Linked DNA regions of Saccharomyces cerevisiae S288C. Each later gene encodes a partner of the first gene's protein in a complex. Each region holds a gene or a part of one and is shown in the gene's direction. Other genes may lie near its edges.

Region 1 (15,859 bases):
GAAGACAAGAGGTTCATTCAGAGAAAACATCCGTACATTCGAGTTCTCATTGAACCCATACATTTCAACTATTTTTACATAGTTCGTTTTTCATGTGTAAAATTGTCATCGACGCGCCGGAGCATCGGAAAGTTGGAACGTGCGCGATTGCACCAATCCCACTGGGGCCGTGCATTCTGTAGGCAGGAAGCCACTGGACACTCTGCCCGTTCCCACTTGGAAGATTGGCGTAATTCCACGCTCCTCTATCGATTCTAGCGGGAAAGTTATCTCTCCTGGTAAGCGTTGGAGGAATGCCGCTACCTAGGTAAGTCTACTGGGTGGGAATTCCAGTACCGACGTCTAGGAACATCATGATGCTGCAGTTTCTTTGAAATTTCATATACAGTGTTACCAAGGATAAAGTGGTTAATGCTTATTCGTCATTGAATTTTTATATTTGCTTAAGAGAAGTGACAAAAGAGTGAAGACAGACTATACATCATGAAGGTATGATTTATGATACTATTATTGAGGGGCAACAGAGAACTTTATATGTGGAAAAATGGCATGAAAGTTTGAAAGTGAGAAAGAACTAAACAGAACCAGACGTCGTAAAGATTTTAGAAATTTTTTATGGAAAGAAGCAGGAAGACTACCATATACTAATTGATGCGTTTGTGGCGTTATTTTTAAACAAACAGAGCGGGTTTACATATACTGTTACTACAAACCGTGAAATTGAAGCAGTTCATATACTTGGAGTATAGTCAATAAAAGACAAGCTTTTTCATCTTCCACTTAATAATTTCTCTAGAGTAATAAACTTCACCCTATTCAAACATTAATTTTGCAATAGTATACTAACAAATTTTCTTAATAACCTGTTGAAAATTTAAAATAGTTGAACATTTCTTACCCAGTTAACGGGTCTCAAAAGACCTTCGAAATTGATGATGAACACCGTATTCGTGTTTTCTTCGACAAGAGAATCGGTCAAGAAGTCGATGGTGAAGCCGTTGGTGACGAATTCAAGGGTTACGTCTTCAAGATCTCTGGTGGTAACGACAAACAAGGTTTCCCAATGAAGCAAGGTGTTTTGTTGCCAACTAGAATCAAGTTGTTGTTGACCAAGAACGTTTCTTGTTACAGACCAAGACGTGATGGTGAAAGAAAGAGAAAGTCCGTCAGAGGTGCCATTGTTGGTCCAGATTTGGCTGTCTTGGCTTTGGTCATTGTCAAGAAGGGTGAGCAAGAATTGGAAGGTCTAACTGACACTACTGTTCCAAAGAGATTGGGTCCAAAGAGAGCTAACAACATCAGAAAGTTCTTCGGTTTGTCCAAGGAAGATGACGTTCGTGATTTCGTCATCAGAAGAGAAGTCACCAAGGGTGAAAAGACTTACACCAAGGCTCCAAAGATCCAAAGATTGGTTACTCCTCAAAGATTGCAAAGAAAGAGACACCAAAGAGCTTTGAAGGTCAGAAACGCTCAAGCTCAAAGAGAAGCTGCTGCCGAATACGCTCAATTGTTGGCTAAGAGATTGTCTGAAAGAAAGGCTGAGAAGGCTGAAATCAGAAAGAGAAGAGCTTCTTCTTTGAAGGCTTAAAGTTAGAAAGCAGTAAAAGATAAATTCTTTTGTTCAAAAACTCCTTTCTTATTCTGTATTTTGTGTATTTTTAAGCTTAAAATCAAATAACTTTATTTTTTATATAATTAACAAAAAGAAAAATAATCATATGTATTGTAAACGAGAGTCGGAATGTATCCTCAACTGAATATCCAAGCGAGTCCACAGTAGCTAATAGTCTGAAAAAAAAAGGAACCCTTGTCCTTGAACAGAAATGACAAAATTACTACGTATTTCAGGATGCTATATAAGATTGTTTACAAGAGTACAAAAGTCCAGTATAGCAACAGCAGATTGGACGTCTAGTTTCGTTGCTTCATCTCATAGTAACCAATTCTTCTGCGCTAGTCGGATGAATAGCAACACAATTATCGAAATCAGCCTTAGTGGCACCCATCTTTATAGCAACACCGAACCCTTGCAAGATTTCTGCAGAGGAATCACCAACAATGTGCAGACCGACAACCTTTTCATTTGGTCCCGCACAAACAATTTTATATCTTGTGGGTGATTTCTCACTCAACATAGCATAGTACATGGCGGTAAATTTGGAATTGTAGACCTTTATATTCTCCTTACCGTACTTTTCAATGGCTTCCTTCTCAGAAATACCAATGGAACCGGCTTCAGGATGTGAGAAAATTACGCTGGGGACGTTCTCGTAATCTAGTTTGTCATTACGGAATTTCTCTGGACCAAACAGTCTATTAGACAGCTTTCTGCCCGCTGCAATAGCGACAGGTGTCAATTCAACTTTTCCAACAACGTCACCTAGAGAATAAATGTTTGGAACATTGGTGTTCTGATATTCATCAGCAATTATTTGGTCATGAGAGTTCAGCTTTATACCTACATTTTCTGAACCCATACCTAGATGGGATTTACGTCCAATTGTCCAAATTAATTCGTCAACGTCATCGATGGACTTTGAGTCATTCATATGTATTTTCAGTTTGTCAGTTTCTACATTTTTCTCCACCTTAACAATTTTGGATAGTTTATGAACGTTGATGCCTTCCTTTACGTAATGGTCAGTAATAGTGTTCTGGATGCATTCATCAAATTTTCTCAAGACAGTTTCACCTCTAATTACCAAGTGCGTTTCGGATCCCAGCCCATGGAACACACCTGCTAGCTCAATACCAATATAACCAGCGCCAACAACAACAACTTTCTTAGGTTGTTCTTCCAATCTAAAGAACCCATCAGAATCAGTACCTAATTCGAAACCTGGAATGTTTTCGGGGAAAATAGCCTTTCCACCGGTCGCAACTAAAATATGGTTAGCGGAGTAAACTTCAGTAGTATTATCCCTTTTCTGAACTTCAACATTACCGTCCTTATTGAATCTAGCCCATCCAAATACAACATCCACTTTTTCTTTTTCTAAATTCTTCTGGTATATACCGTTCAACCTATGGACATAAGCATCCCTTTTCTGCTTAAATTCTGGCCAATTAAAAGTCAAATGCTCTTTATCTAATGGAAGATTCTGATATAATCCATATTCATTTGCATGGGATACTCTAGTAGCGAGGTCAGAAGCATACCACATGACTTTCTTCGGAACACAACCCACGTTAACACAGGTACCACCAAGAGCCTTAGCTTCAACTAGTAATGTCTTCGCACCATAAGATGCAGCTCTTCTTGCGGAAGCAACACCCCCTGAGCCACCCCCGATGACGAGGTAATCGTAATGCTTGGTGTTCGTGGACATAGTTCTTATCTGTAGACTTCTAAATGTTTGTTTGGTTGCAGAAAGCATAAAGTTCTGTAAACTAATATGTAAATAGATATATATACATATGAAGGAAAGCAGCAAAATATACTGAGAGTGAGAAGCGCATGAGAAAAACCAGAAGTGTTTCTTATACTTTTTTAGACTGATTTTAATAGTAGATTCCAAATGGAAAGCTCCGAAATCCTCGAAAAATTGACAAGGGTCGTGCTTACTAAGTGACGTCAAAAAATATCAGGCATAGTGAAAACCAACGTGAAGAAGCAAAAGCAGCAAAGCGCCGTGCAAATGAATTAAACTATCTATTGAGACTCCTACATGAAATGCTTGCCAATTATGTACGTATAAAACCAACAATTTTATGCTAAACGCGTAAAATCTAGAGCCGAGTTTGATTCTTCCACGCTTTCAATGCTGTTATACGGAGAAACTGTCGTCTTTTCCGTACCTGACTCTGAAAATAATGAAGATTTACGGGCAGCATGCAGCATCTTTTTAGAATACTCATGCAATGTGCATAAAAGGCATAGAATTGACCAACAAACGCAAACACCGCCGTATATGGTTCCTAGGACTCTAAATGCATATAAGGGAACGTACTGGTTATACTGCACATATAACTCTTCGTTTCCTAAAGACATAGTACCCATCGGGAAAGTCATCCCCCAAAAACCTTTGTGGAAGGTATAAACTCTCTTCACTTTTCCTGTCTCGTTTTCAATCTCTTTTTTATTGTAGTACGACAGGATTGAAACGACAGAAATCACGGTGAAAAAATAGCCCATAGCGAGCAATGCCATAGCAGAAACCATGCCTAGAATTTTGAAACACCATGGAACTGCAATAGTCAATATCTCTTGTTCTCTTGTAATGTTATCTGTTGGGTAATATTTGCCCGCATATTTTTTTATATTATCTGTAAGCAATAAGACTCCAAAACTTCCTTGGCCCATCGGGCCCAAAAGCAGGAATAAGGTGAAAACCTGTGTCATTGGTGGTATCTTATTAATATAAAGACTCCAGAAGTATATCGCAATCAGTATGAAGACGAAGATAATGGCATGCAGCCACGTTAAGGCACATATGACCAACGTTATCAGTTGAATGTTTCTATTAAACGCATGGAAGAATATTTCTGACATTGTGAATGTTCCACAACTTGAAGCGACGACAACCAGCGGAATGATATCCAGTAGCAATACACTTTTCATGTTTTCGGATGCCATTTTGATATTATATGAAGGATAATTCCCAATCCCTTCCAAAGGGTAATAGTCATGCCAGATGAGAAACGAGATACCCCACGCTATTACTAGACAGACTGCGAGATCATACCACCACAAGACGTAAACAAATATCATCAAATTTCTGGCATTAGTGGGGCTCTTCGTCGTGTTCGCTTTCGAGAGTGCTCCTAAGAAATTTATAATTGTAACTAACCCCATGGGATAAGTACCCCAAAATAAATTGTGCTTCATATTTCTGAAAAAGTCATTAAAATATTCTCTGAAGCTTTTCTCCTTAATATAGACAATCAAATGTAATATTTGTAGTGCCTGCACAGCAATGAAAATAAGGCAAGCGATAGCAAACATGATGTAGGAGCATATTCTTAGCCACCTTGCAGGATATGGGAAGCTATATAGAATATTCGATGAAATGCCGACACCCATGACCATCATAAACATGAAGGGGTCAAACTGCCTCGTAAGAGCAAGTACCCAATTGGCAACCATTTTTTTCTTGTACTTGTCTTCTCTTACACTATAAAACGTTTTTAAATTGCGCGTATTGTCTGAGCTCAATCAACAATCGTTACTAGGGGAAAGCTGTAATTTGTGTGTTGTCTAAATGCGGAGAATTTGTTCAGCCAATATCACAAGTTTCAACTTAACAAGACAAGGATTAGAAATAAGAACTACACGCTGGTTGGCTATTCTTTTAGAACCTCTAGTTAAATAGGTAAAATAAGCAAAGTGAGCAAAAATAAGCAAAAGAAGTCAAAGACAACCCCAATGTGCCAAAGACGGCGATGAGTCTTCTGTTTTTTAAGATTCATGCACTCTCAGATTTTCGGCTACAGACGCGGCACAAGGATGAAAAAAAAAAAATGATAGTTTGCAGGAATTTATCAGTCAATTGATGGGAGACATCGCTATTGTTGCCTTATACGATACACTGCAAAAACGATAACAATTTCTTATTTGTCAACCTCGTGGGAGACTCGATAGGTTGCATGATGATGTGTCACAAAAAAGTAGAAGTGTCATCTTGACGCTATCCCACCCCTTCTTTTTCCACATGCTTAATTATTTGTATACATCCAGTGACATACAAAAAAATAGTAGAACATGGAGGGGTCGGCTTGTTGGATAATTTAAATCGGTTTATTATTATTATACAGATTAAATAAAATTTTTTTAAAAAAAAGATACAGAAAAAGTGAGAAAGAAAGAAAAAGAAACCACTAATAGTGAGAGAGATAATCAAATGTAAATGGTAATCCTACCAGCCCAAAAAGATTAGAATGTCGTGTACGTACATCCACATTTTATATTCATATTTTTTTTAAAGTACATGCAAAAGAAAGAATAAGAAGTAGAGAAATCAACGGAAATCTGTCTTACCGACACCACGCTTACCACTGAATAAATGCTTTGATAAGGAAACAGCATTGTGTCTATCAGATTCACCTTGCTTGGCATGTCTATTTCTTTCTCTTCTTTCCATCTTGGCCATCCTGTCGGCCTTGGATCTCATGGAGCCATCAGCAACACCATCCAACAGTCTATCGGTTTGTCTCAACTTGACACCGTTTTCAGTGGAAGCTGTCAAAGCATCTTGGTCGCCAAAAACAACATCAGAACCTCTTTCAACATAACGGTTCTTACGAGCAGCACGGTTCTGTTTATCTTGTAAGGCTGACATGTCATGGCCCAAAGTGGACATGTGTTCTTCCATTTTACCAAAGGACTTAGTTAGTTTAGAACGTGGCATGATAGCTTTGTTCTTCAAGGACTTCCTATTTCTTGCTTCAGCAATCATCGTCTTTTGTCTATTTCTAATCCATGCAGCTTTCTCCTTGATATCATCTACTTCGGATGCTTCGAAACCGTCGTAGATTTCTTCCTCATCGTCAGAATTGTAGAACCCTTCGTTCTCCAATTTTTCTTCTTCTTCTTCAAGAGCCTGCAGTTTAGCAGCGATTTCAGGGTCCAAGAAATCATAAACATTCTTACCATCCAAGATTTCTGGCATGATGTCATTCTTCCACTCATCATCTTCTAATAGGTACTTGTCCTTCAAGTTAACATTGAAGACACCAGCACCACCATTTTCAGCTTCGATGTCTCTGGCCAACTTTCTCCTGTTTGGATCTTCAGGGTCGTATTTCTTCAAATTCTTGACAGATTCTGGGATAAATGGTGTTCTCTTGACATCATCTCTTGCTTGAGGTTGAGCAACATGAATCTTGTTCAGAACATTGTTGATTCTAGACTGAGATTTCAACTTATTCTCAATTCTAGAAGCCAATAGTTTTTCACATGCTTTGTTTCTAACTTCCATAACGTTTTCTTCCAGTTGGCATGAAGAAGTCATGATTTCAACACCTGGAACCTCCTTAACAGATTCCAGTAATTGTGCACGCTCTTCGTCTAAATCCTCCGGTCTGATAATGTCGGTTTTGTTGATAACAACCATGACAGACTTGTTGGCGAATAGAGGCTTGATGGAGTGGAATAGTTTAACTTGAGCTTCGATGGTGAAACCACATTGTTCGGAAAGATCCATGAAGTACAAAACACAAGAACGTAAATGGGCAATGGCATAAATCGATTGCATTTCAATGTTGTTCATTTCTTCAGTGGGTCTATCTAGGATACCAGGGGTGTCAATAGCTTGAAATCTCAAGTATTTGTAGTCAAAATGACCAACGTATAAACTCTTGGTTGTGAAAGCATATGGTTGAACATCGACGTCTGATTTGGTAATGCATCTCAAAAACGAGGACTTACCGACATTTGGATAACCACAGATCAGCAAGGTTCTGGTATTTGGGTCGATCGATGGTAATCTACCAATGTGCTGTCTGACTTGTTCCAAATAGGCCAATGGGTCCCTCAATTTCTTGACTATAGTTGCCATTCTACCTAAAGCGGCCCTTTTCAATTGTTTACATTGAAATAAAGATTGACCGAATTTTAGCAATCTGACATAATCTCTGGCGACTTGTTCCACAAGGGACTTCGCACGAGATATAGCTGCCAAAGATATCTTGTAATGATTCTTTTCGTATAGGGTGTCCATCAAATCTCTATGGAAAGGATGCACGTCATTGATGTTAGGAAAACCCTTTAAAATGTCCTCAAATTTTTCCACGAAACCTTCACCTGTGTATTTAACTTTACGCATATAGAACGCTCTGATTCTTGTAATCTTGAAACCAGGTCTGATCACAGTTGGTGTCTTTCTCTGGGTTCTGTTCAAGACAATATCCAGCAAATCATTTGCTGGAGCGACAGTAGGGATATCCTTCCATGAAAGTTGCATCTTCGGTATAGGAGGGAGATGTGTTTGCTTTTGGAGGGTACACTTACTTTTTTATAAACGCTGCAACTCCTAAATCTGAAGTGTATTCTTTATATTGTATTAGATGAGGTAGTACATAGGTGAAAATTTTTCTTTGCGATGAGCTGCGGAAAAAACTTTTCGTTCAGTTGAAAAAAAAAAAGAAAGTGAAGATCGTGTGCGACGGAATAGACGTGTCGTTTTCCCAATACTGGCATACAAATCAAGAGGGAGAAGAGTGGGCTTTTATAATTGCAGTTGAATGCAGTATGGTAGCCGAGCAAACACAGGAGAACATGTCAGCCGTAGGTCCAGGTAGCAATGCAGGTGCTAGTGTCAATGGCGGATCTGCTACAGCCATTGCTACTCTTTTACGCAACCATAAGGAGTTGAAGCAAAGGCAGGGTTTATTCCAGGCCAAGCAGACAGACTTCTTCCGTTACAAGAGATTTGTTAGGGCACTGCATTCTGAGGAGTATGCCAACAAATCTGCAAGACAGCCAGAGATATATCCAACTATACCTTCTAACAAGATCGAAGACCAGCTTAAGTCACGTGAAATCTTTATTCAACTTATAAAGGCACAAATGGTGATCCCAGTGAAAAAATTGCATAGTCAAGAATGCAAAGAGCATGGATTGAAGCCAAGCAAGGACTTTCCGCACTTGATTGTTTCGAATAAAGCACAATTGGAAGCCGATGAATACTTTGTTTGGAACTATAACCCTAGAACCTACATGGATTACTTGATCGTCATTGGTGTCGTGTCCATCATATTGGCGCTCGTATGCTACCCATTGTGGCCGCGCTCCATGAGACGCGGCTCCTATTATGTGTCTCTGGGTGCCTTCGGCATCTTAGCAGGCTTCTTTGCTGTCGCTATCCTGAGATTGATATTATATGTTTTGTCATTAATTGTCTACAAAGATGTTGGTGGGTTCTGGATCTTTCCCAACCTGTTCGAAGATTGCGGTGTACTAGAGAGTTTTAAGCCACTTTACGGTTTTGGTGAGAAGGATACTTATAGTTACAAAAAGAAACTGAAAAGAATGAAGAAGAAACAAGCCAAGAGAGAAAGCAATAAGAAGAAAGCCATCAATGAAAAAGCCGAACAAAACTGAACTTCCATTATCCTGTATAGCTCTACTGTATAAACCTTCTATATTGTAACCTCATGAACTCGCACATGTACAAACCTTCAAGAGAACCGGCACCAAAGCGCTACCATCTGGTTGCTTCATCGCTTATAGTGAGTAGTTTTAGATTTGAAGGTTATCGCTCCTGGCAAAAATCTGAATCCACACACCGCATAATTAGCGGTTATTATTACTCAATTTCCGGCCGGCTTTAATATACTTTCACCGAAAGGTCTCTATATAGAAGCTATTTGCTGACACTTGCTTACAGGAATCGATTATATAAGAAGGGTTCTGCATCTGGTTGCCTACTTAGTTTTCGGTATTTTTGAAGATTAGCAAAAAGATCAAGATATCAAGTATTTTCATATTTGTCATTTTAATGTTTCGCTCGGGTTACTATCCAACTGTCACTCCTAGCCATTGGGGCTATAACGGCACCGTCAAACATGTACTGGGAGAGAAAGGAACCAAGTCTTTGGCTTTCAGAGATTCTAAGCGCCAAATTCCTCTTCATGAATTCGTAACCAAACACGTGCCTACACTCAAAGATGGTGCAAATTTTAGGTTAAACAGCTTGCTTTTCACAGGTTACTTACAGACCCTTTATTTGTCAGCCGGTGATTTTTCCAAAAAATTTCAGGTATTTTATGGAAGAGAGATTATAAAATTTTCTGATGGAGGGGTCTGCACTGCAGATTGGGTTATGCCTGAATGGGAGCAAACATATTCATTAAATGCTGAAAAGGCTAGTTTTAACGAGAAACAATTTTCGAACGATGAAAAGGCCACCCATCCAAAGGGTTGGCCTCGTCTTCACCCGAGAACTAGATATCTATCCTCTGAGGAACTTGAAAAATGTCATTCTAAGGGTTATTCTTACCCTTTAGTGGTAGTACTTCATGGTCTTGCAGGGGGAAGCCATGAGCCTCTCATCAGGGCATTATCTGAAGATCTATCAAAAGTCGGTGACGGTAAATTCCAAGTGGTAGTCCTTAATGCTAGAGGTTGCTCAAGATCTAAAGTCACCACCCGTAGAATCTTTACCGCATTACACACAGGTGATGTGAGAGAATTTTTGAACCACCAAAAAGCTCTATTTCCGCAAAGAAAAATATATGCAGTCGGAACATCATTTGGAGCAGCCATGCTAACGAACTACTTAGGTGAAGAAGGAGATAACTGTCCATTAAATGCTGCAGTCGCTCTCTCAAACCCATGGGATTTCGTACACACTTGGGACAAGTTGGCTCATGATTGGTGGTCCAACCATATTTTTTCTAGAACTTTAACACAATTTCTAACAAGGACTGTCAAGGTTAATATGAATGAGTTGCAGGTACCAGAGAATTTTGAGGTTTCGCACAAACCGACAGTTGAGAAACCAGTCTTTTATACGTATACCAGAGAAAATTTGGAAAAGGCTGAAAAATTTACAGACATATTAGAATTCGATAATCTTTTCACTGCCCCATCGATGGGCCTGCCGGACGGGTTAACATATTATAGAAAGGCCAGTTCGATAAATAGATTGCCTAATATCAAAATCCCAACTTTAATAATCAACGCAACGGATGATCCAGTTACAGGTGAAAACGTAATTCCGTACAAACAAGCTAGAGAAAATCCTTGTGTGTTGTTATGCGAGACTGACTTGGGTGGACATTTGGCTTATCTCGACAATGAAAGTAATTCCTGGTTAACAAAGCAAGCTGCCGAGTTCTTGGGCAGCTTTGATGAGTTAGTTTTATAAATATGTTCTTAGATAAAATTCCTTACACATAATAATCTGTTCTTTTATTTCTCTATTTACCATCCTCCCCACGCTGTGCTTTCCAATCCGCCGATCCACTTTCTCTACCACGATTAGATGATTTCGAAGCGGCACTGACGCTTTCGGATTTCGTTTCTTGTGTCTTTCCTCTAATCAGCTCTATCTGTTCCTGCTCATCGCGACATGCAAGTTGGTATATCTCGTCATCATTTAACGAATACCTCAACCTCTTCGTTATAAATTGACAAAGGAATTTTAAATCTTCTTCCTTGATTTGATCTCTGGGCAGCTCGTTTTGGAGGATATAGCGTTTACTAACGTCAACAACGCCATCTTTACCGAACGCAATACAGTAACTCATTTTCTTGTTCCAGTTAATTGAATAGATATATGGTTGGTCGAATGATTGCTCACAGGAGTCGACATGAACCCACCTATTCAAAAAATTTGAAAAATATTCACACCAAACATGATCTTCTCTATTCCAGACGTAGCGAACATCTAACCCAAACGACTTCAAAATCAAAGTAAATAAATTGCACCATTCACCGCATCTTCCCTTTCTAGTTTCCAGCAACTTAATTGGATCGTTATAACGAGGAAATCTAGTGATATTTCCGCATCGGTTGCATTTATAGATCTCAACAGTTCCGCAATTGAATTTAGATTCCTCTCCATTGGGCCCTTGACTGCCCAGAGGTGTCATATTTTCTGAAGTGTTCTGGCCACAATGATTACAATCTGGTTTATTGCACCATTTGAAAAAATCTTGTTTGAAGTAGCGAAGCAGCTCCTTTACTAGATAATCCGTGTATATATTTTCCCCCTCTGCATGCCCATCTTTGGCAAATTCCTTATCAACATTTTTATATATTAGATCCAGATCCAATGTCTCCAGGACTATAGAATGCCATGAAGGATTGTCATAGACTGTACAGAGATGTTGACTCTGACCTAGGACTCCTTGTGCGAATTGATTTGTATGGACTAAATTCTGAAACCTTATATTCTCTACAGGTGCAGCTTTCTTGAATTTAGACAGTATGAAATCCTTATACTTAATTAACAACATTTTGGCTATTGAATCAAAATCTATGTTATTTTTTTCGTATACCTCTCCCATTGCTACTCCACCTGTTACCTTCTTCAGGTTGTTTTACGTCTTCTATATCTGTTCCCAACGCATCCTTTTTTCTTCGCTACAATACAAGGAAGATTACACTACGCAAAGTTTCGAAAACATCAAGAAGCATAGAACAGTTGAAACTAGGCAACAGGACTGTTTCAATTACATGATTGAGAATTTATAAGCGCATGAGACCACGTGACCAAGGCTTTTTGGTTTTAGGGTTTACTTACTCGGTACTCCTAATTAGTCTTGCTACATTTTACTGGTTACGCAACAATGACTCTTTCCTGCACTACTGGTGTGTATTACTGCTATGCCCTGCGACTCTCTGGCTGTGGGCCCTCATAGCCTGGTGTGACAGTGAAATGTTCGCAAGTAGTAAAGATGAATAATCGTTTATAATCTTATTTACAAGTCAGTGCATAAAATGATATAATATCACCTCACGCATGCCTATTTTATACATGTACTTTATATACCTCCCTTTTTTTTAACGCATTTCTATTATAAAACACTTCTGCTTTCCTATCCTCAAGATCAGTACTCGATCATCTATCAGGAAAGGAGCCAAGTTAGAAATATTTTCGTTTACTTTAGATTTTGAATGATGCAGATACACGCTTCCCTGGGAAAGTTTTCTTCTGGCTTCTGATACTGAACAATTTACTAGTTTACAAATTAACTTTATTAAGTCAATCTCTCTATCAGCATACTGCAAAATTCTGGCTTTTTTACATAGATCAACTAACTTCGCAGCAGATAAAGTTCCGTCATAACGTCCAAAAATAATATTAGAAAGCGCTTCTGAATCCGATCCGGAGCCAACTCCATATAACATATCTGTGACTTCTTTAGCCAATAAAGTTTGGCCATAACGTAGACTGGGTGATTTGATATGCGTTTCCACAATTTTTTTGATTTCACTTGAGTTTAAAAACGTAAAGATCTTCAAGAACTTGGGTACATCAGCATCCAAAGTATTATAAAAGAACTGGTAAACATCATACGCCGTATTGATTGAGGGGTCAATAAAAACAGCATTGCCTGCACTTTTCCCAAATTTCTCTCCTGTAGCCGTCGTCAACAAGGGCACAGTGATACCAAATGGCAAACCCTTATTCTTTATAGGCTGTATCCTATTGATGAGATCGATACCGGCTGTTATATTTCCCCATTGGTCGTTACCACCTACTTGTATAGTCACATTCTCTTCCTTATACAAATGGTAAAAATCGTACGCTTGTAAAACTTGGTAAGTAAATTCGTTAAATCCCAGACCATTTTTGGTTTGAAGCCTCGAAGAAATTGAATCCCTCGCCAACATAGATTGTACCCGAATGTGCCTACCAAAATCAGCTAAGAAATCCAACATTTTGATGTCTTTCCACCAGTTGAAATTATTCCTTGGTGTATATTTTCCGGAAGGTACATCTTCAGTGAGAGCACATCGGTTTCTGTAATATTCTAGGCCATTTTTGAAAAACCTTTGTAATTGCTGCGAGATGGATGCCACATTGCTTTGCCTAATATCGTTCTCCATAACGTCTCTTTCTGTTTTCCTACCACTTGGGTCCCCAACTTTCCCTGTAGCTCCACCTATCACAGTGACAATGTCGTGACCTTTTACGTAAAAGTGTAATAAAACCATTAGTGGAACTAGATTTCCCAAATGAAGTGACTGAGCTGTGGGATCCACCCCGCAGTATAATTTGATCTTATCGTTACCGTTCAACTTCGTCCGAAGGAAACTCTCTGGCTGTGAGACCTGGGACACTAGACCCCTTTGTTTGAGTTCGTCTAAAATATTATCGCTTCGAGAATCCGATGTGCCCTGTACTTCTAAAGCACTAGGCTGTGAATAAAATCGAGATTTAGGCAATGTTATTGCACTTAGTCCGGAATAAGTCACCAGAGGCACAAGTCTCCTACTACTATTGACCAAATTACTACAACTTCGTAATTCGAGCATGATTCACAATGTCTACCTGTAGATTGCTGTGTTCAATCGGAAACTGGAAATTCTTTCTTAACATTATGAGCCAACCACTTTTTATTTTCTTTTCAAAACTCCCGAACAAGACCAACATTACCAAACAGACTCCACTACTTTTCCATAAGAAGGAAGCACAGAACACCACACAAGATCATATAGCACAAATAGCGCAACAGCTTCAAGTCCAATATTAAGATATAATGCCTCCTCTTCCACAAAATTATGCGCAACAGCAGCCTTCGAATTGGGACAAATTCAAAATGGGGTTGATGATGGGTACTACCGTCGGTGTCTGCACAGGCATCCTATTTGGTGGATTTGCCATCGCAACTCAAGGCCCAGGTCCTGATGGTGTAGTTAGAACACTAGGGAAATACATTGCTGGTTCAGCGGGTACCTTTGGGCTATTTATGTCCATCGGGTCTATAATCAGAAGTGATAGTGAAAGTAGTCCAATGTCCCATCCTAACCTGAACCTACAGCAACAGGCAAGACTGGAAATGTGGAAGCTTCGTGCCAAATACGGTATACGTAAGGACTGAGGGGGAAATTTTGCATATATTTACGCTTCCCCATCGTTTTCTTAAACATTGTTACTTATCTGCTTATTTTTATTTAAGATATCTATCTACCTGTTTATAACTCTCTCAATACCATGTATTTAAGTTCATCACGACGAGGCTTATTTACTTAATATATTTGTATACGTGGGAAATGTCTAATATGTATACCGGTTTGCATCTTATTTTGGGTGGGGTCACTAACGGCAAGACTCATAAAATAAAGTATTCGCTAAGCACTCTGTTATATTTGTAAACTTTGAGAAAGGAAATGGGAACCAAAGCATATAATAGACAATATGTTAAAAAGACGCTCTAATGCTCTCATTACTTTGAGTAGAACTAAATTGTTTCCCATAACAACCGTTGCCTATTACCACAGGCGCCTCCTCAACCAACAACGAAGAGCTGTTTCAACGTCACCGAAGAAAGAAATCAAGAGCCTAGAAGACTTGGCTAATTTGGATTCTTTGGATGGTGTTGATACTGAACTGATACGCGATTTGATTAATGAGCATACTACAAAATTAAATATCAAAAAGGAGTTAGATATGCTCAAAAAATTCTCGCAAGAGGAAGAATCAGGACATGAGATCCCTGTAAAAAGATTTATTAGGCCTCTTTGGATGTTCATTCTAATGGGATCTTCCGTTTATTTACTGCTTCACTTCTCTTGGTGGAAACTAGAGCATGAGGAGAGAGAAAGTCAGCTAAAGAAAGAGGTAGAAATCCTGGAACACCAATTAAATGAGTTAATTGTACAGGATAAAACCCACAATACTAGTAGGGGAAAGGGCAGTAATGAATCAACACATATGAAGCCTTGGTATAGGAGATGGTTTTGGTGAGAATTAGTTATCTTGTTGGCTTTTCGTGTTTCTAGAATGTACCATTGCCTATGTAAATATTTTCAAATTGCTTGTTTTGAAGATTTCTACCCTCTTTAGCAATTCACACGTGAATACGTACAATATCTATTAAGATTATGAAAACTGCACATATGCATTATGTAAATTTATTATTTTTAGTCAGCACACATTCACCAGGTTTTGACGGAATACTATATATACTGAAGGTTCCATCATCAGAGGCAATATAGACTTGGTTGGGAAATTCGTCTGGAAACCCTAAGCAACTCCTGTTCGATTCATTAACTGTTATATAAGCAAAGTTACGGCTCAGGTTCTGGTTTGGTATTGAAGATTTTATTTTTTTCGAGAAGTAATTCGCAATTCTTGGTTTCGAGAGAGGTATTTCCTTTGGAGTTCCCATACTGGGATTTGAATTTGATGCTAGTATATATTCCTCTTCATTCCAGTGGCCATTGCTAGAATTATCTCCAGGGAGG
Region 2 (16,103 bases), on another chromosome or scaffold:
TAACCTTCTATTAATATTATTACACCAGAGTAAATTGTCTGCAATACCTGATTTCCTTCTAGCGGCTCTTCTTTGTTCTCGCTTAACACACTTGGTACAAACATTTGTCGTTCTGTTGCTGACCGCACATAGAACAAACGCATTGATGTACAGAAGATTTTTCTTGAAGTCTTCTGAAAAATCCTCGATATTTTTTTTTAAATAAAACTTTTCTCTTGAAATGGAATCGCTAGGCAAGTAAAGCATGCTTTGGTTTAGTGGTGTTTCAGACGTAATTTTCACTTTCAGTTTCAGTTGATTTTCCACTCTAGATACTTGTGGCAAACCTGAGACCTCTACATCCAAAGGTAGCTGCGCTGCGTTCACTTTAAGGTAATCTAAAGGATTTATGTAAACAGATTGAATCGTCTCCTTTCTTCCAAATACAATCTCGTCATGAGCAGGGTTGCCTATATTTTTTTCATTAAAAACCTTATTTTCATGCTCGTCCTCTTCTTCCTCCTTCAAGGCTCTGTTACTTTCCATTTCCTCCTCCAGTGGAGTGGACACGTTTTGGTTGACATGAGTATTGTTACCGATACCTTCGAAAGACAACAGGTTGGGCGAATCACCCTCATCTGTCTTGATAAAATTTTGGAAATTAGCACCCTCATCAATATTAATATGCGCCATGCTATCATCCTGGTACATGGGAGACCCGTTCAGGAGGAAATCGTCCAAGAGCTGTGATTCCATTACGCTATTCGCGTGCAATTGAGATATATGAGGGTCGCTTCCAGGTGTTTCCGTTAAGAACTCACTGTTCTGCTGCATAACGAAATGTTCTGTTCGCCAAAATGACCTTCAATAAGTGCCTTTAAATGCACAATAAGGGGGGGAAGCAGGATCTAGTCTTAACGACCCCAAGAACGACTGTTGATCAAGCGCCGCTGTCCTTTTAAAAGGCTTTCGGCGGCTGTATTTTCTGGTTTAGAGCTCACCCATTTGAAAATGTTGAGTTTTTTGTCATGATCCACGATATAAAAAGAAATACGACATTTCTAGGGTAACATCAGAATGCCCTTGCTTTTATTGTTAGGGTTATTTTCAAAAGTAGAATTTTGGAAATAAGTCCTAGCCTTTTTGTAACACTAACCCTGAGACAAAGTGCCAGATAAGATAAGATGGATTGGCAAATAAATGGGGAAAGATAAGCGAGGTAAGACTGATAAGAAGCATATGCGGTCTATTCATGTGCATTCGCATATATAAGTCAGTAACTGTCATCCAATCGCTCTTGATGCTTATCTTGTAGGGCAAAAAATCTTTGAAGCAAAGATATGGTGACCGTGGTGGCGGAGACATTGACGAAAGAGTCCTTCGAGGAGTATGGGACGATAATTTCGCCAGATGAAGAGATTTCAAGGATGCAAAACCTTGAAAAAGGTGCAAACCAGGGAACAGCGATCAAATTGCTTCAAGTAAGCCAGGTAGAGAATAAATCTACCAGTAAAGTTCCCAATTGGAACCTATTCCGTTGCTTTCCACAGCCGCACCTGAATAGAGTATTCACTCAAGGCTCCAATCAGGCGATTTCTCATTCTATCAAAGTCCTCGAAAAGCATCCGTGTAGTACGCAGACGTTTGTGCCTATGGGGAGAACGTCAGCGGAAGTAGCATACTTGGTAGTAGTCGCTAAAGAAATTGGAAATAAGCCAGACTTGTCTACGTTGAGGGCTTTTACATGTTTGGGTAATCAGGCCGTTACCTATGGCTTAGGTACCTGGCATGCGCCCATGATAGTACTTGGCAAGGAAGAACATTTGGATTTTTCAGTCTTAATCTACGAAAGTCTGGACCCTGACAGGCCCGAGAAGGACTGTGTGGAAGAACACTACAGCGATGGCGACGTTTGTATTATCATCTAATTCTGCGACTGTGGGCGAAGTAAATATGTAAATGTTCATGTATTAGTAATTTCATAGGTTTACGATTATCGACATAAAATCTCCGCTGAAAGTTGCGGTGCGATAGAATACCGCGGATTTTGGAAAATTGCGTTTGCTTTTCTTATCACATAAATTGAATTTCATAAGTTTTGGCTTATCTTGGATAAGGTACATCGTGAAAGTATCACAAAGATTGGATAGTTTCGTCAATTGGTGAAGCAATAAGTATAAAATGGGGACATTTACGCATGTAGTCTTAATTCTTCACTTTCTGTGCAGTTGATATCACTTAGAGTATGTGTCATAGGCACGGTAAAGAGCACTGAACAATGGTGAAGATAAGCTTGGACAACACTGCTCTATACGCAGACATCGACACGACTCCTCAATTTGAACCTTCCAAAACTACTGTAGCTGATATTTTAACAAAAGATGCCTTAGAGTTCATTGTTTTGCTGCATAGAACTTTCAATTCAACACGGAAACAGCTTTTAGCCAACAGAAGCAATTTACAATCAAAGTTAGACTCTGGTGAATACCGATTTGATTTCTTGCCGGAAACCGAACAAATCAGGAACGATCCTACATGGCAAGGTGCTATCCCAGCCCCTGGTTTGATCAACAGATCCAGCGAGATTACTGGGCCACCATTGAGAAATATGTTAGTCAACGCTTTGAATGCTGAAGTAACGACATATATGACTGATTTCGAGGACTCTTCATCTCCAACTTGGGAGAACATGATTTACGGACAAGTTAATCTTTATGATGCCATTAGAAATCAAATCGATTTCAAGACACCAAGAAAGGAGTACAGGTTGAAGGATGACATTTCAAGACTGCCCACTTTAATTGTCAGACCTCGTGGCTGGCACATGGTGGAGAAGCACCTTTACATAGATGATGAACCGATTAGTGCTTCCATCTTCGATTTTGGTTTATATTTTTACCATAACGCTAAAGAGTTAGTTAAAATTGGTAAAGGACCTTATTTTTACTTACCAAAGATGGAGCACCATATGGAGGTAAAACTATGGAATGACATATTCTGTGTTGCACAAGATTTTATTGGAATGCCCCGCGGTACCATTAGGGCCACTGTTCTGATTGAAACTTTGCCAGCGGCCTTCCAAATGGAGGAGATTATCTATCAAATAAGAGAACATTCAAGCGGTTTGAACTGTGGTCGTTGGGACTACATATTTTCGACCATTAAAAAACTGAGAAACTTGCCTGAACACGTTTTGCCAAATAGGGATCTAGTGACTATGACTTCACCTTTTATGGATGCTTATGTGAAAAGATTGATCAATACATGTCACCGTAGAGGGGTCCATGCGATGGGTGGTATGGCTGCCCAAATCCCCATAAAAGATGATCCAAAGGCTAATGAAGCTGCAATGAACAAAGTTCGTAATGACAAAATTAGAGAAATGAAGAATGGGCATGATGGGTCATGGGTAGCACACCCAGCATTGGCACCGATTTGTAATGAAGTTTTCAGTAACATGGGTACAGCAAATCAAATATATTTTGTCCCGGATGTACATGTTACATCATCTGATTTATTGAATACGAAGATTCAAGATGCTCAAGTCACTACTGAGGGAATCAGAGTAAACTTGGATATTGGCCTACAATATATGGAGGCTTGGTTAAGGGGATCTGGTTGTGTCCCAATTAATCATTTGATGGAAGATGCCGCTACTGCGGAAGTATCACGTTGTCAATTGTACCAGTGGGTTAAACATGGTGTTGTCTTAAGTGATACCGGTGACAAAGTAACTCCAGAATTGACCGCTAAGATATTAAATGAAGAGACTGCAAAATTGGCTTCAGCAAGTCCGCTGGGTGAAAAGAACAAGTTTGCCTTGGCAGCCAAGTATTTTTTGCCTGAAGTCACTGGTAAAATCTTTAGCGACTTCTTGACCACTTTATTGTATGATGAAATTATTAAGCCAAGTGCCAAACCAGTTGACTTAAGTAAATTATAGAATGTATACGTACATAACCTGACGAATATTCGAAGAATTTTAGGCGCTGTTTTAACGCATAATCCAATCAAATTTGAGCTGATAAGGCCTGATAAGGTATGACAAATTGAACTCATATTTTTTCTCCATGCCAGATCATATTTAAGCCTTTGAAGCGAGAATATGTAAGGAAACTGAATTACTAATTCTTACCTCAGGAAAATCAAAAGAACAAAGAAAAACTAGCTAAGCAAATTATCGAACGATGGAAACAAGAATACTTGTTGTGAATCCTAATAGTTCGAAGTCAATGACGGTGTCCTTGCGGGAAACCATTGAAAAGACTTTTTCAATGGAATCATGTAAAATCAGTTATTTCACAGGGCCAGACACGTCGCCACCACAAATTGATGGGCAGGAAACAAGTATTAAAAGTATGGAGGCCTGTCTTCCCCTCTTAATTGATGACCAGGAGTCGGTATATTACTTTCAGAAATTCAACGGGATATTAATTGCCTGTTTTTCAGATCATCCTTTGGTAGCAAAGATAAAGGATAGAGCTGCTAAAGAAAAAGCAGATGTTTCTATTGTTGGGTTATTAGATAGTAGTATTAATTATTGCAATTTGGTTGGAAAGAAGTTCTCTATTATTACTTCAAATAAAGAATGGATTCCAATATTGAATAACTCTGTGGAATCGAAATTCTTGACAGGGAATACAGTTAACAAAAATTTATGGAAAGGTACGGTATCTACTGATTTACAGGTCCTCGACCTACATAGTCCAGAAAATTTCCAGCAGATAGCAGAAATTATATATCGCGAAAATATTAAAAAGCTTGATTCAGACATTGTAATATTAGGTTGTGCAGGATTCTCGGGTTTGCAAAATAAACTGGCGAAAACATTCCAAAGGGATGGCACGCTGTTTCTGGACACGATTGAGATCGGTTTACAGATTCTAATCACTATGATAAGATTTGTCAACTCACAAAAATAAATAGAAATATGATTGTTTTTTATAGAGTGTAAATTTTAATGTTTTGTCGTGAAGAAGAAGAAGTAAATAAAGTAGCGTGGGGATAGCGAAATGAAAACATTCAATTATCAAAACAAAAACTTTTAACTACATTTATACCTTTACTTTTAAAGTGCCAAGAGTGCATTGGTTTAAAATATACAGTAGTTAAGTATTTATCAGTACCCCCAAACTCTTATTCTTTTCACTCCTCCATCTGGAATAATCGTTAATTTGACATGGGAGACTCTTATACTCTTACGTATTTCATACACATGTTCTTTGTCAGGCCCCGTCTTTGACTTACCAACTAGCTCTACCCATGTTCCTTCACCAGTGTTCTCACTTGATTCTGACTCCTTCAAGCAACCTTCCACGGTAATGAACTGAGGGAAGTTCCCCCTGAAGTGTGCCGTATCAACAATAATCTTCTCAATGAAAGAAGACTCCCTGCCCAGTTGAATTACCGCCCAATCAGTATGACCTGGTTGTCTCGATCTTTTGGTTTCCCAGCCGTCCGACATATCATGACCTCGACCTGGCAGTAGCAAATTATCAACTGAACCGAAGTGTTGGTCAGAATACTTTAAAGCGACAGCACCATTGCAAACATAAGCCAAGTCAATTATATGATCCTTCGTTTTGAGTTCTGGAGGAACAACTCTTCCGTATAATCTAAATCTGGCGATTCCTCCATCGGGGTACATCTTCAGCTTGATGTGAGTAAACCTTTCTTTAGTAAGGCCGTTGCCTCTAACGAAAAGATGCCTTTGCGAAGGACCACACTCAAATTTCTCAACAATCTCAACCCAACGCGAGTCATCTTCCACTATATTACCTTCTTCGCCCTCGTCATAGAGCGCCTCTATTGATACAAATGGTGCATGATTACCATTGAAAAACGCAGTGTCAATTTCACCACCAATAATATGGGCAGCAGCGACTCCCATCTTGATGATAACCCAATCGTATTCCATCTCATTATGTCTTCGTGTTTCCCAGCCGTCGTACCATGCGCCTGAATGAACAAATCTGGTAGGATCCCTTATAGGAGCAGTTGGCTGAATTAAATTTTCAGCAGAAGCAAACCATTCATCTGAAAAAGAAACCACTTGACCACCTAACTTAGATCCTATAACATCTACTGCTTTGTTTTTTGAAATGATTATTGACTTAAATTCTGCCTCATCTGCCAAACTAAAAAACTTCATTTTTCTAAAGAAGAGACCGATTAGATACAATTAATTGTTTGATCGGCTTCATAATTTCCCCATATCATAGCAAAATGCACTTCCATTCCTTTATAGCATTTGATCTCAGAAAATGTGTCTATAATTTAGACTTTTCTTCCAGCTGAATTTCATTGTGGTTCCTGTGTTTTTATCTTATCGCTAATTCGAGTCAAAGATAAGATGTCGGAATTATCCGGAGTTCTGATAGGCTCAAACAAGCGCAAGTTTGGTAGGTTGATGACGGTTTAGCTAATCATCAGTACATTATTCAGACGGGAATGCATGTATGAAGCTGATAAATTTGATTAAGAAAGGTACATAAAAATACACAGAACGAATATTAAGGTGTTTTGAAGAAATTATCAATTCTCCTGATCACTACTGGTAAGAGAATAAATTGGGATTTTTATTTAGTAAACTATCTTTTCCTCGGTGCCATCATAGATACTGACTGTGTCATCGCAGAGGTCATCCCTACGTAACTCATTCTTCCAATCTTGCTCGAAGTCCTCAACATAAGCCCATCTTTGGAACCATCCTTTCTCTGTCAGAAAATTGGTTACGGGAGTACCAGGGACAGGAAAAAAGTAACATAATATGAGGTATATCACCGCACTAATAAAGAAACCTACCGGATAACCTAAATAGTATAACCTCATTGCACCCTCTGAAACCGTAATTTTTGGAGCTCCAACATCACCTATAAAACCTGGTAAATTTGGAGCGATACCGCAAATATACGCAACAAAGGCCCTCCAATTGGCACCAAATTTGTTTCCAAACATGTAAAAGGAACCCTTCTGTGCCAGGAATAAATGTGTTAATTTCACATATCCTCTTCTTACTACGAAATAATCCGCGCAAATGACACCAGCAATACTGGAAAGGAAAATTGCATAAGCACCCAAAGCGCTGGTGAACTTACTTGAACTGGCCATTAAGTTCCATGGACAGATACATAGAGCCATTGCCACACAGAATAAAGAACCTCTTCTAATATTAATATATCTTGGAAACAAAGCCGTCATATCAGCACCACATGCCAGAGAGTTGGCAGAAATGTTTGTACCCAGTTGAGCTAAGGCAAATACAAAAGAAATCAAGAACACACCAGCCCTAGTACCTCTGGTGTAAGTGGTCTCCAAAAATTGACCAAGTACATCCAGTGGTGACCAATAGTTAACCCCATATAAGTGATAACCGGCCGCAGTAACAATGATACCGATCAAACATGTTATGGCGAAGAACAATGGGATGGCAACCAATTGTGGCCACAAAGACGCTTGAGGATTTTTGGCAAATCTACCGAAGTCAGGGGCGTTGATAATCAAAGCGGCAAAGTTAGCAACACAGGCCATTAGGGATCTAACGAATATCCATGAAAATTCGGAACCATGAGGTGAATAATCATTCAGCGTCCCCAACTCAATTTTACCGTGCGATTTCTTCAAAGCCCAGATTAAAAATCCAAAGGCTGCGAAGGGGATCAAAGCTGCTTTTACTGTGAATAAATGCCTGATTTTATGAGGAGCCACTAGGACAAATGGTATACTGACCACCCAAAATATAAAGAAACACATGAATTCAAAAGTAGTGCTATTTGGAGAACCAAAATGGTTTGGGATTCTATCTTCCAGATTCTTGCCAAAAATAGATTTTAGCATCAGTGCCACGGGCGTTGCACCTAACCAGGCTTGCACGGCATACCATACTATAGCCATCACGACACGATTTATAATCGGCCACATAGAAAAGAATATACCAAATGAGGCCCTAACAGTAATAGGGAAAGATAAGTGATATGCGGAACCAAATCTCGAGTTCAATACTACGAAGATACCTGCAAAAGTGTAGCCGATCCAAACTGTAAGCCAACATTGCCACCAATTCAGACCTAGTTGTAGACCTGTACCAGCTATTTGCCATGTGTTAATATTGAAACAGTCTGCCAGCCAGAAATATAAGTAATTGAACCAGGACCAACACCTTCTTTCTTCTTCAACCGGTTTCAAGTCTCTGTTATACAAGAACGACTCTTTCAACGAAACATTCAAAGTTGTCTTGTCTAACACAATGAAATCGTAGTATATTTTACTCCAGATGGACTTTGTTTCGGGCAAGGGCACGACTTCGCTCTCCTCTATTGAGGAGTTGTCCACATACACATTAGTGTTGATATTCTTGTTCTTGTTGAACTTCCCATTTTCCACATCTATAATATCATCTTCATTGTTTGTATATGACACAATAGATGTGGAGGGTTGGACACCTTTCCTCGAAGGATTACTGAAAATAGCACTTAGAGCGTCGTTAGCCATTCTCGTCTTTGTTGATGTTTTATATCACAAGATGTAGATGAATATAAAAGGTCAAAAAGGGAAACTAAAGTAACATATATATTCAAACTACTCATCAAGCTAATTATTTATACTTTTTTTTTCTTCCCCATGTTTTCCTAGCCTTCTATGCTCAACACTAGCAGATCAAGTTTCTCGATTACAAACTTGTTTCTCTGATACTCTACCTCTCTATGCTAATCATTGGACACAATTTTTAAAGGAACCTTATCGACGTGACAGCAAAGCGGTCAATCCATCCTATTATTCCTTCTCATCTCCCTGAAAAGGAAAACATCCTGGATCTTCAATTACACATACACATTCCTTATCGCAACTAGATTAGAGGCGCTATTTTGTATGCGACAGCGAGTAAGGATGGCCGGAAAAAAAGCGGGCGCATTTTCCCTGGCAGAAATTTTTCATTGATAAGAAAGTAATACCGATAAGAGATACCCTCGAGCCACATTAGACCCGAGAATTGCAGGAAAGAAAGGAACTGCATGTTTCGATTCTATTGTCCCTTACTGCGGATCATCGAATAGGCGCAAATGTGTTGATGGTGGACTGATGGAACTTTATCAGGAGAAGTGGTTCAAAATTGCGGTGCTTAATTATCTATATAGAGGAGGCATATCTCATCGAAGGGGACAATGATGAGGTAACGCAAAAGTGATGAGTTTCTACTGGTATCTTGTAATTGAAGGTACCCCTTTTTCTTTTAGCTATCTTTAATTAGGTTAGAAAAGTGTATATTTCGCAAAAACGTATAGGCAAAAAAAAAGTGAAATACTGCGAAGAACAAAGATGCCTATCAATGCCATCACTTCCGACCATGTCATTATCAATGGTGCAAATAAACCTGCGACTATTGTGTATTCGACCGAATCAGGCACGATTCTGGATGTTTTAGAAGGCTCCGTGGTTATGGAGAAAACTGAGATAACCAAATATGAAATACATACGCTGGAGAACGTATCTCCATGTACAATTCTGCCTGGACTTGTGGACTCTCATGTTCACTTGAACGAGCCCGGTAGGACTAGCTGGGAAGGATTCGAAACTGGAACTCAAGCTGCTATTAGTGGCGGGGTCACAACGGTGGTTGATATGCCGCTAAATGCTATTCCTCCCACAACAAATGTGGAGAATTTCCGAATTAAATTGGAAGCTGCTGAGGGCCAAATGTGGTGCGATGTTGGGTTTTGGGGTGGACTGGTACCACACAACTTGCCAGACTTAATTCCGCTTGTCAAAGCTGGCGTTCGCGGGTTCAAAGGATTCTTGCTTGATTCTGGTGTGGAAGAATTCCCTCCAATTGGCAAAGAATATATAGAAGAAGCCTTGAAGGTCTTAGCCGAGGAGGATACCATGATGATGTTTCATGCTGAGTTGCCCAAGGCACATGAGGACCAACAGCAACCCGAGCAAAGCCATCGTGAATATTCTTCGTTTTTGTCCTCGAGGCCGGATTCTTTCGAAATAGACGCCATCAATTTGATTCTCGAATGCTTGAGAGCCAGAAATGGACCAGTTCCTCCTGTACATATAGTTCATCTGGCATCAATGAAAGCAATTCCCTTGATCAGAAAGGCACGTGCGTCAGGGCTACCAGTCACAACAGAGACTTGTTTCCACTATTTGTGTATTGCTGCAGAGCAGATCCCAGACGGAGCCACCTACTTTAAATGTTGTCCACCCATCCGCTCTGAGTCTAATCGCCAAGGCCTATGGGACGCTTTGCGTGAAGGTGTTATAGGCTCAGTAGTGAGCGACCATTCGCCATGCACCCCTGAGTTGAAGAACTTGCAAAAAGGTGACTTTTTCGATTCTTGGGGAGGAATCGCTTCCGTCGGACTAGGTTTGCCATTGATGTTTACCCAAGGCTGCTCTTTGGTCGATATCGTTACATGGTGCTGTAAAAATACATCCCATCAGGTAGGACTATCTCACCAAAAAGGCACTATAGCTCCCGGGTACGATGCTGATTTGGTGGTATTTGATACTGCAAGTAAACATAAAATAAGTAATTCAAGTGTCTACTTCAAAAACAAATTGACTGCCTACAACGGGATGACGGTCAAGGGCACAGTTTTGAAAACCATATTAAGAGGCCAGGTGGTATATACGAATGCCAACGGAGTCTCGAAAACACCATTGGGTCAAACTTTGCTTGATTCTAGACGTTAAACTAAAGTTGCAAATTTTTATTAAAGAAATTCTATAGAAATAAAAGAAACAAATTTATAAAAAGTTATTTACACACATACATATATTAACCACTCTTAGTTTGAGATGACACAACTTTTAATGATCTACAATATATCCATCTGGGTCTCCACGGCTGCAATTTTGAAATTTTCTTAGCGCTAAAAAAAAGAAATCTAACTGAAAAAAAAAATTATACCTCAGCTCATCGAATGCATCTAATACAGGTATAACGCAGAGAAAGCAGTAAAAGCAGCAAGAAATTACAGGGAAGATGGCTGGAAATGCAAACTCAGTAGACGAGGAAGTTACCAGGATATTAGGAGGCATATATCTTGGCGGAATCCGTCCAATTATTGACCACAGACCATTGGGTGCAGAATTTAACATTACTCATATTCTTTCTGTTATCAAATTCCAGGTCATTCCAGAGTATCTAATAAGGAAAGGTTACACGCTAAAAAACATACCCATCGATGATGATGATGTGACTGATGTGCTGCAATACTTCGATGAAACGAACCGATTCATTGATCAATGCTTGTTCCCCAATGAAGTTGAGTATTCGCCCAGATTAGTAGATTTCAAGAAGAAACCACAACGTGGTGCTGTTTTTGCTCATTGTCAAGCAGGACTCTCGAGATCTGTAACCTTCATAGTAGCCTACCTAATGTATCGTTATGGATTGTCACTATCAATGGCTATGCACGCTGTCAAGAGGAAGAAACCGAGTGTTGAGCCAAACGAGAATTTCATGGAACAATTACATCTCTTTGAGAAAATGGGTGGAGATTTTGTCGATTTCGACAACCCAGCCTATAAGCAGTGGAAGCTGAAGCAATCTATCAAGTTAGATCCATCGGGCAGCGAATTGGTCTCCAATTCTGGAATGTTTAAAGATTCGGAGTCGTCGCAAGACTTGGATAAATTAACTGAAGCTGAGAAGAGCAAGGTCACCGCAGTGAGATGTAAGAAGTGCAGAACCAAATTGGCGTTATCTACATCTTTCATCGCGCATGACCCACCAAGTAAGGAATCATCAGAGGGACACTTCATCAAGAGGGCCGCCAACTCCCATCGTATTATTGATATTCAAGAGTCACAAGCAAATTGCTCTCATTTTTTCATCGAACCTTTAAAATGGATGCAACCTGAACTACAAGGCAAGCAAGAGTTAGAAGGGAAGTTTTCATGTCCAGGCTGTTCAAGTAAAGTTGGCGGTTACAACTGGAAAGGATCTAGGTGCAGTTGTGGTAAGTGGGTCATCCCCGCTATCCACCTGCAAACTAGTAAAGTGGATCAATTTCCCTTACAATCCACTGCTTTGCCCAACATGGTTAATTTTGAATCCGAGAAAGTAAATAGATAACTTAGATATAATCAGCAAATATAACTACCACTAAGCACTTTTGGTGCACTTGTGTATGTATACATCTTAATAGATAGATGAATTTTGGTGCTGAGGAGAGCATTTTTCTAATCTTGACCTCGTTGCTGCCTGGCTCGTCTCTCCATTAATTCATCTAAACTAGTTATCCTCTCCCTAGTCCAATTCCTCCAATTACTCGCTAGATCAGGTGTAATCCCACCATAAGAAGTCGGCTCTTGGCTGTATTCGCTATTATAATCATGCTCTCTTCCCACGTCATCTTCAAAATCCGGATTCATGTCCAGTTCTACCTTTGAATCTTCTCCGTCGTTATCACTGTCAATATCATATGGGTTTCTATCTAAATGATGAGCCTCTTCCACAAACTGTTGTAGGGAGCGTGACAGTGAAGTGGGTCTCATTAATAAGTCATCCGGCACAATTCTCTCTCTCTGAACTTCTATACCTTCCACACCTTCCCCCGGCACTTCTCCCTCCTCATTATCATCCTCATCTACAACATGATCGAACTCTGCATCATAATCGTATGATATTTCATCCTCCTCTGATACTTCCTCATTTTGCGAATTATTAGCACTGTTATTCGCAAGTATGGCCATACTGTCATTTGGCATGCTATGCAATCCTGTAACACCCTCACCAGTATCATATTCTTCATTTTCCTGTAGAATATGAGGCAGTATCACGCGTCCTATAGAGCCATTGTTTCTTGGATCCTCTTCTCTAGAATCGTGCTGCCTGAAGTCTTCCTCATTGTTCCCTTCCGCGTTTTGAGCTCGTGCTCGAGACCTTAGCATTTCTAATTCGTACATAGTTTTATTAATGCCTATTGGTTTGAATCTATTCCATCCTAGCTTGCGTATTTTGGGTAATCTACTTTTGTATTGTTCTGACAGCATTAGAAATTCGTCTAATTTGCCGTCTAGTAACTGACTGGCTGACGTAGGATAGTAAGGAAATTCATTGAACACATTATACGCTGACAATGATGGAATGTATTTCACAACTCTGGATTTCTTCCTTCTTATAAATCTGTCAAGCGAATCATCTTCATAATCATCTATGCCATTTACATGCTGGTTCTTCTTACTTCGGAGATCTCTCATGTTATATCTCTCATGCTTGGCTCCTGCCGAATTTTGATCCTTTCTTATATCATTGAATAATGATATATCCCTCAACGCTCTTGCCATTGCTTTGTCTTCTCTTCGCCGCTGTTTATGGTTGTCGGTATTCTGATGTGGCGTAGCACAGTTGAACTATTTTACGCATCCTCTAATTTACATCTTATGTGATATAATGAGCAGGGAAAAAGTAACAACAAGGAAAGACAAGTCATACGTAAAAGGTGTAAGGAAAAATGTTTATGGCAAGACAAGTGTTAAGAAATGGTCTATTTTTAAGGAGCCTTGCTCCCATAAAGATAACCGCTAGAACTGTTGCATCAGCAAATGCGGGCATTAAGAGAAAGTCAAGATTTGATAAAACAATGATCAAACCTTTACTTTTGGTAATGATATTTGGGTCGATATTAAACGCAGTAATAGCCGAGAAAAGGAACATTATTGATATGGAAAGGAAATATAAGCTAAAACTTGATAAATTGAAAGAGCTGATACGGAGGGTTCATGATAATAATGGAAAGGTAGACTTCGACGCAGATGATGAATTGAAACTTGTGAATTTGCGTTTAGGAATCGTCGGCAAGAACGCAACTGGGATGAAGGAAGATGAGACTGATATTGTGGTTCCTAAGGAAGAGTCATTGGAAGAGATCTGGCAAAGTATAATAGACGAGGCAAAAAAAGAAGTAATCGAAAAAACTCCAGATGCTGGCGTTAAGAACAAAGAAGGGATTGTCACTGATTTGAATGTTCTAAAAGATTTAGAAAAGTCGAAAAAAGAAGATGAAAAGGTTTACCTAAGTGGTGATGTCCATATGATGATGAACCAACCAGGTGATTTGAATGAAATCGCCAAAGAACATGATAAAATCCCAAAATTTCTATAGTAGGCTCTATGCATCCGGATATACCACATGTAAATATAACGCAAGCGAATAAATAATTTTACATTCACCACTCAGTAACCTTGGTCCTGCAGAAGATATTTCTATATAGTTATTACCGTATTCCATTTTTACTTATGTGCTATTATTTATATTACAGAGGGGTTTCCCTTGTGTTAATTGTTACATTTTTATCATCATTCATTTTTATAGTTTGGTTACCAGTTGCGCTTGTTTCCTGGTTCGAGTTTGGATTATCGTCCTTGAGTTCCGTTGATGATTCCTCGTTGGCGGTTCTTTCTCTTCCTGCTGTTTTTTCATCTGCAGCGTCACCTGACTCTTGTCTGGTTTCGTTAATTGAGGTCAAGGGAGAAGCATTCATTTGTGTATTAGAGTTGACATTTGTGCTGGAATTGACTCTTGGTGAAGATGTATTAGAGGGGGGGTGTCTGCTCATATGAGAGGGCGTAACATTTGGTGAAGATTGTGAAGTTTTTTTAGAAGACTTATTTGGCGCAAATGGTAAAGGCGTGTTGTTGCTATTATTATTAGCACTATTTATGGCTGGACTTCCCTGCGATTCTAGTTGTGTTTGTCTGGAAGTGGGGTTTACTGGCGTTGTTGTACTGGTCGTACCGTTGGGAAAGGAGTTTAGTTGTTGCAAGATTTCCTGGGGCAAATTCTTCCACTGGTTTAAAGGAGATCCTTGCTCGGTCATGGCAGGTGATCCCACGTTAAATTGTATTGGGATTTGCGATTGTACACCTGACCTTTGTGGGTTAACGGAATTGATGTTAGAGTTAGGGCTCACGACCACCGGTTCATCGGTCAGAAGACCAGGAATTTGTGCAAATAGTAAATGCATATTATTCAAAGCATTCGATAGTTTATCAAAGTATTTGGAACCTATCTTCAATACCCAGGTATAATTTCTAACATAATCTCTGAAAATCATAGCCTCTTCCTTCGTAGCTGAAGTCACATACAGCAGGGCAGCAAATGTTCCAATTAGCATCAGATTTCCAGTTGAGCAGTTATACCAAAAAGCATTAATATGTTCGTTTTTTAGATCTCTTATAAATTCAATTGCTGCTACAAGCCTGGTTCTTGCAGCAGTCCTGCATACTTGAACCAGTTCCTTTGGAGTTTGAGGATTCAAGGCACAGATAATTTTCCTATGTAACGTAATTTCCGTGGCAAAATAAGCTAGAGTTAAAGTTGAATTTGAGTTCAATTTTTGTGGCGTGGCATAACTCATTGACAAATTCTTGGGTAGGGAATGGTACCATTCTCTTAATTTCAGTTGCAACGGCTTTGCCAGTTTCAATACCTGTTCAATGCTTTTGTTTATTGTCATGGATCCCTGAGTGTAAAATGTGTCCATGATTTCCCCAAGAATTATACTCAAGGAAACCATTTGTTGAAACATAAGCGTTCCATTCTTGAAATCTTCTAAAGTGGGGTTTATGTTAAATATGGGCAAGTTACCAAATGCTATCTGATGGTTTTTCACATCATTTGATGACGAGGGTGAAGACCCCGACTGGTCATTTTGCAAGGAATTTAAAATAGTGGGCGAATTCAGAGGAAAATCATCAAAGTTTAATAGCTTGATCATCCAGTTCCTACCTAAAATTAAATGGGATTGTCTACCTTCGTTTAATGCACACCATTTATCCATCAACCAAACTGCCCACGCTAATCTCTTTCTCAAATCTTTTTCCCATTTGGGAAGTTTCCAATCATTACATTCAACCCCGAGCCCCAATTCCTCTGCAAGGGCCACTACGCTGGAGCAGAGGACCCAGTTGTTATGACATTCACTACGGCATTGCAAAATCAAAAGGCCTGTTTGTATAATGCTCAATTTTGGCCTTCCAACTCGAGCATAAAATGTTTCCAATGCGATATTGTTTAGTTGAGCAGTTACATCGGGTTTAGGGAACCCCAAAAGTGCAGGATGAAAATCCCAATATTGTAATGCCAGTGAGTAAATGGATGCCAGTAAAG

What was found.
Region 2: INA17 (region 1) and INA22 share a complex: the UniProt entries of both Saccharomyces cerevisiae proteins name them as parts of the inner membrane assembly (INA) complex.

What each region holds. Positions count from the first base shown.
Region 1 is NC_001148.4:363,020-378,878, reverse strand, and holds INA17 (Ina17p), read left to right. Parts: upstream 1-14,810; coding exon 14,811-15,359; downstream 15,360-15,859. Other genes in the region: 40S ribosomal protein eS6 RPS6A, read left to right, coding at 484-489, 884-1,588; glutathione-disulfide reductase GLR1, read right to left, coding at 1,926-3,377; SSU1 (Ssu1p), read right to left, coding at 3,710-5,086; putative GTPase NOG1, read right to left, coding at 5,958-7,901; Sec63 complex subunit SEC62, read left to right, coding at 8,216-9,040; EEB1 (medium-chain fatty acid ethyl ester synthase/esterase), read left to right, coding at 9,438-10,808; PNG1 (peptide-N4-(N-acetyl-beta-glucosaminyl)asparagine amidase), read right to left, coding at 10,861-11,952; ERI1 (Eri1p), read left to right, coding at 12,144-12,350; tyrosine--tRNA ligase MSY1, read right to left, coding at 12,449-13,927; MGR2 (Mgr2p), read left to right, coding at 14,152-14,493; and 1 more. UniProt on the Saccharomyces cerevisiae protein: Component of the INA complex (INAC) that promotes the biogenesis of mitochondrial F(1)F(0)-ATP synthase. INAC facilitates the assembly of the peripheral stalk and promotes the assembly of the catalytic F(1)-domain with the membrane-embedded F(0)-domain.
Region 2 is NC_001141.2:400,834-416,936, reverse strand, and holds INA22 (Ina22p), read left to right. Parts: upstream 1-13,445; coding exon 13,446-14,096; downstream 14,097-16,103. Other genes in the region: MGA2 (Mga2p), read right to left, coding at 1-813; DAL3 (ureidoglycolate hydrolase), read left to right, coding at 1,320-1,907; malate synthase DAL7, read left to right, coding at 2,258-3,922; DCG1 (Dcg1p), read left to right, coding at 4,167-4,901; DAL2 (allantoicase), read right to left, coding at 5,099-6,130; DAL4 (allantoin permease), read right to left, coding at 6,562-8,469; DAL1 (allantoinase), read left to right, coding at 9,295-10,677; tyrosine protein phosphatase YVH1, read left to right, coding at 10,970-12,064; MND2 (Mnd2p), read right to left, coding at 12,172-13,278; DAL81 (Dal81p), read right to left, coding at 14,248-16,103. UniProt on the Saccharomyces cerevisiae protein: Component of the INA complex (INAC) that promotes the biogenesis of mitochondrial F(1)F(0)-ATP synthase. INAC facilitates the assembly of the peripheral stalk and promotes the assembly of the catalytic F(1)-domain with the membrane-embedded F(0)-domain.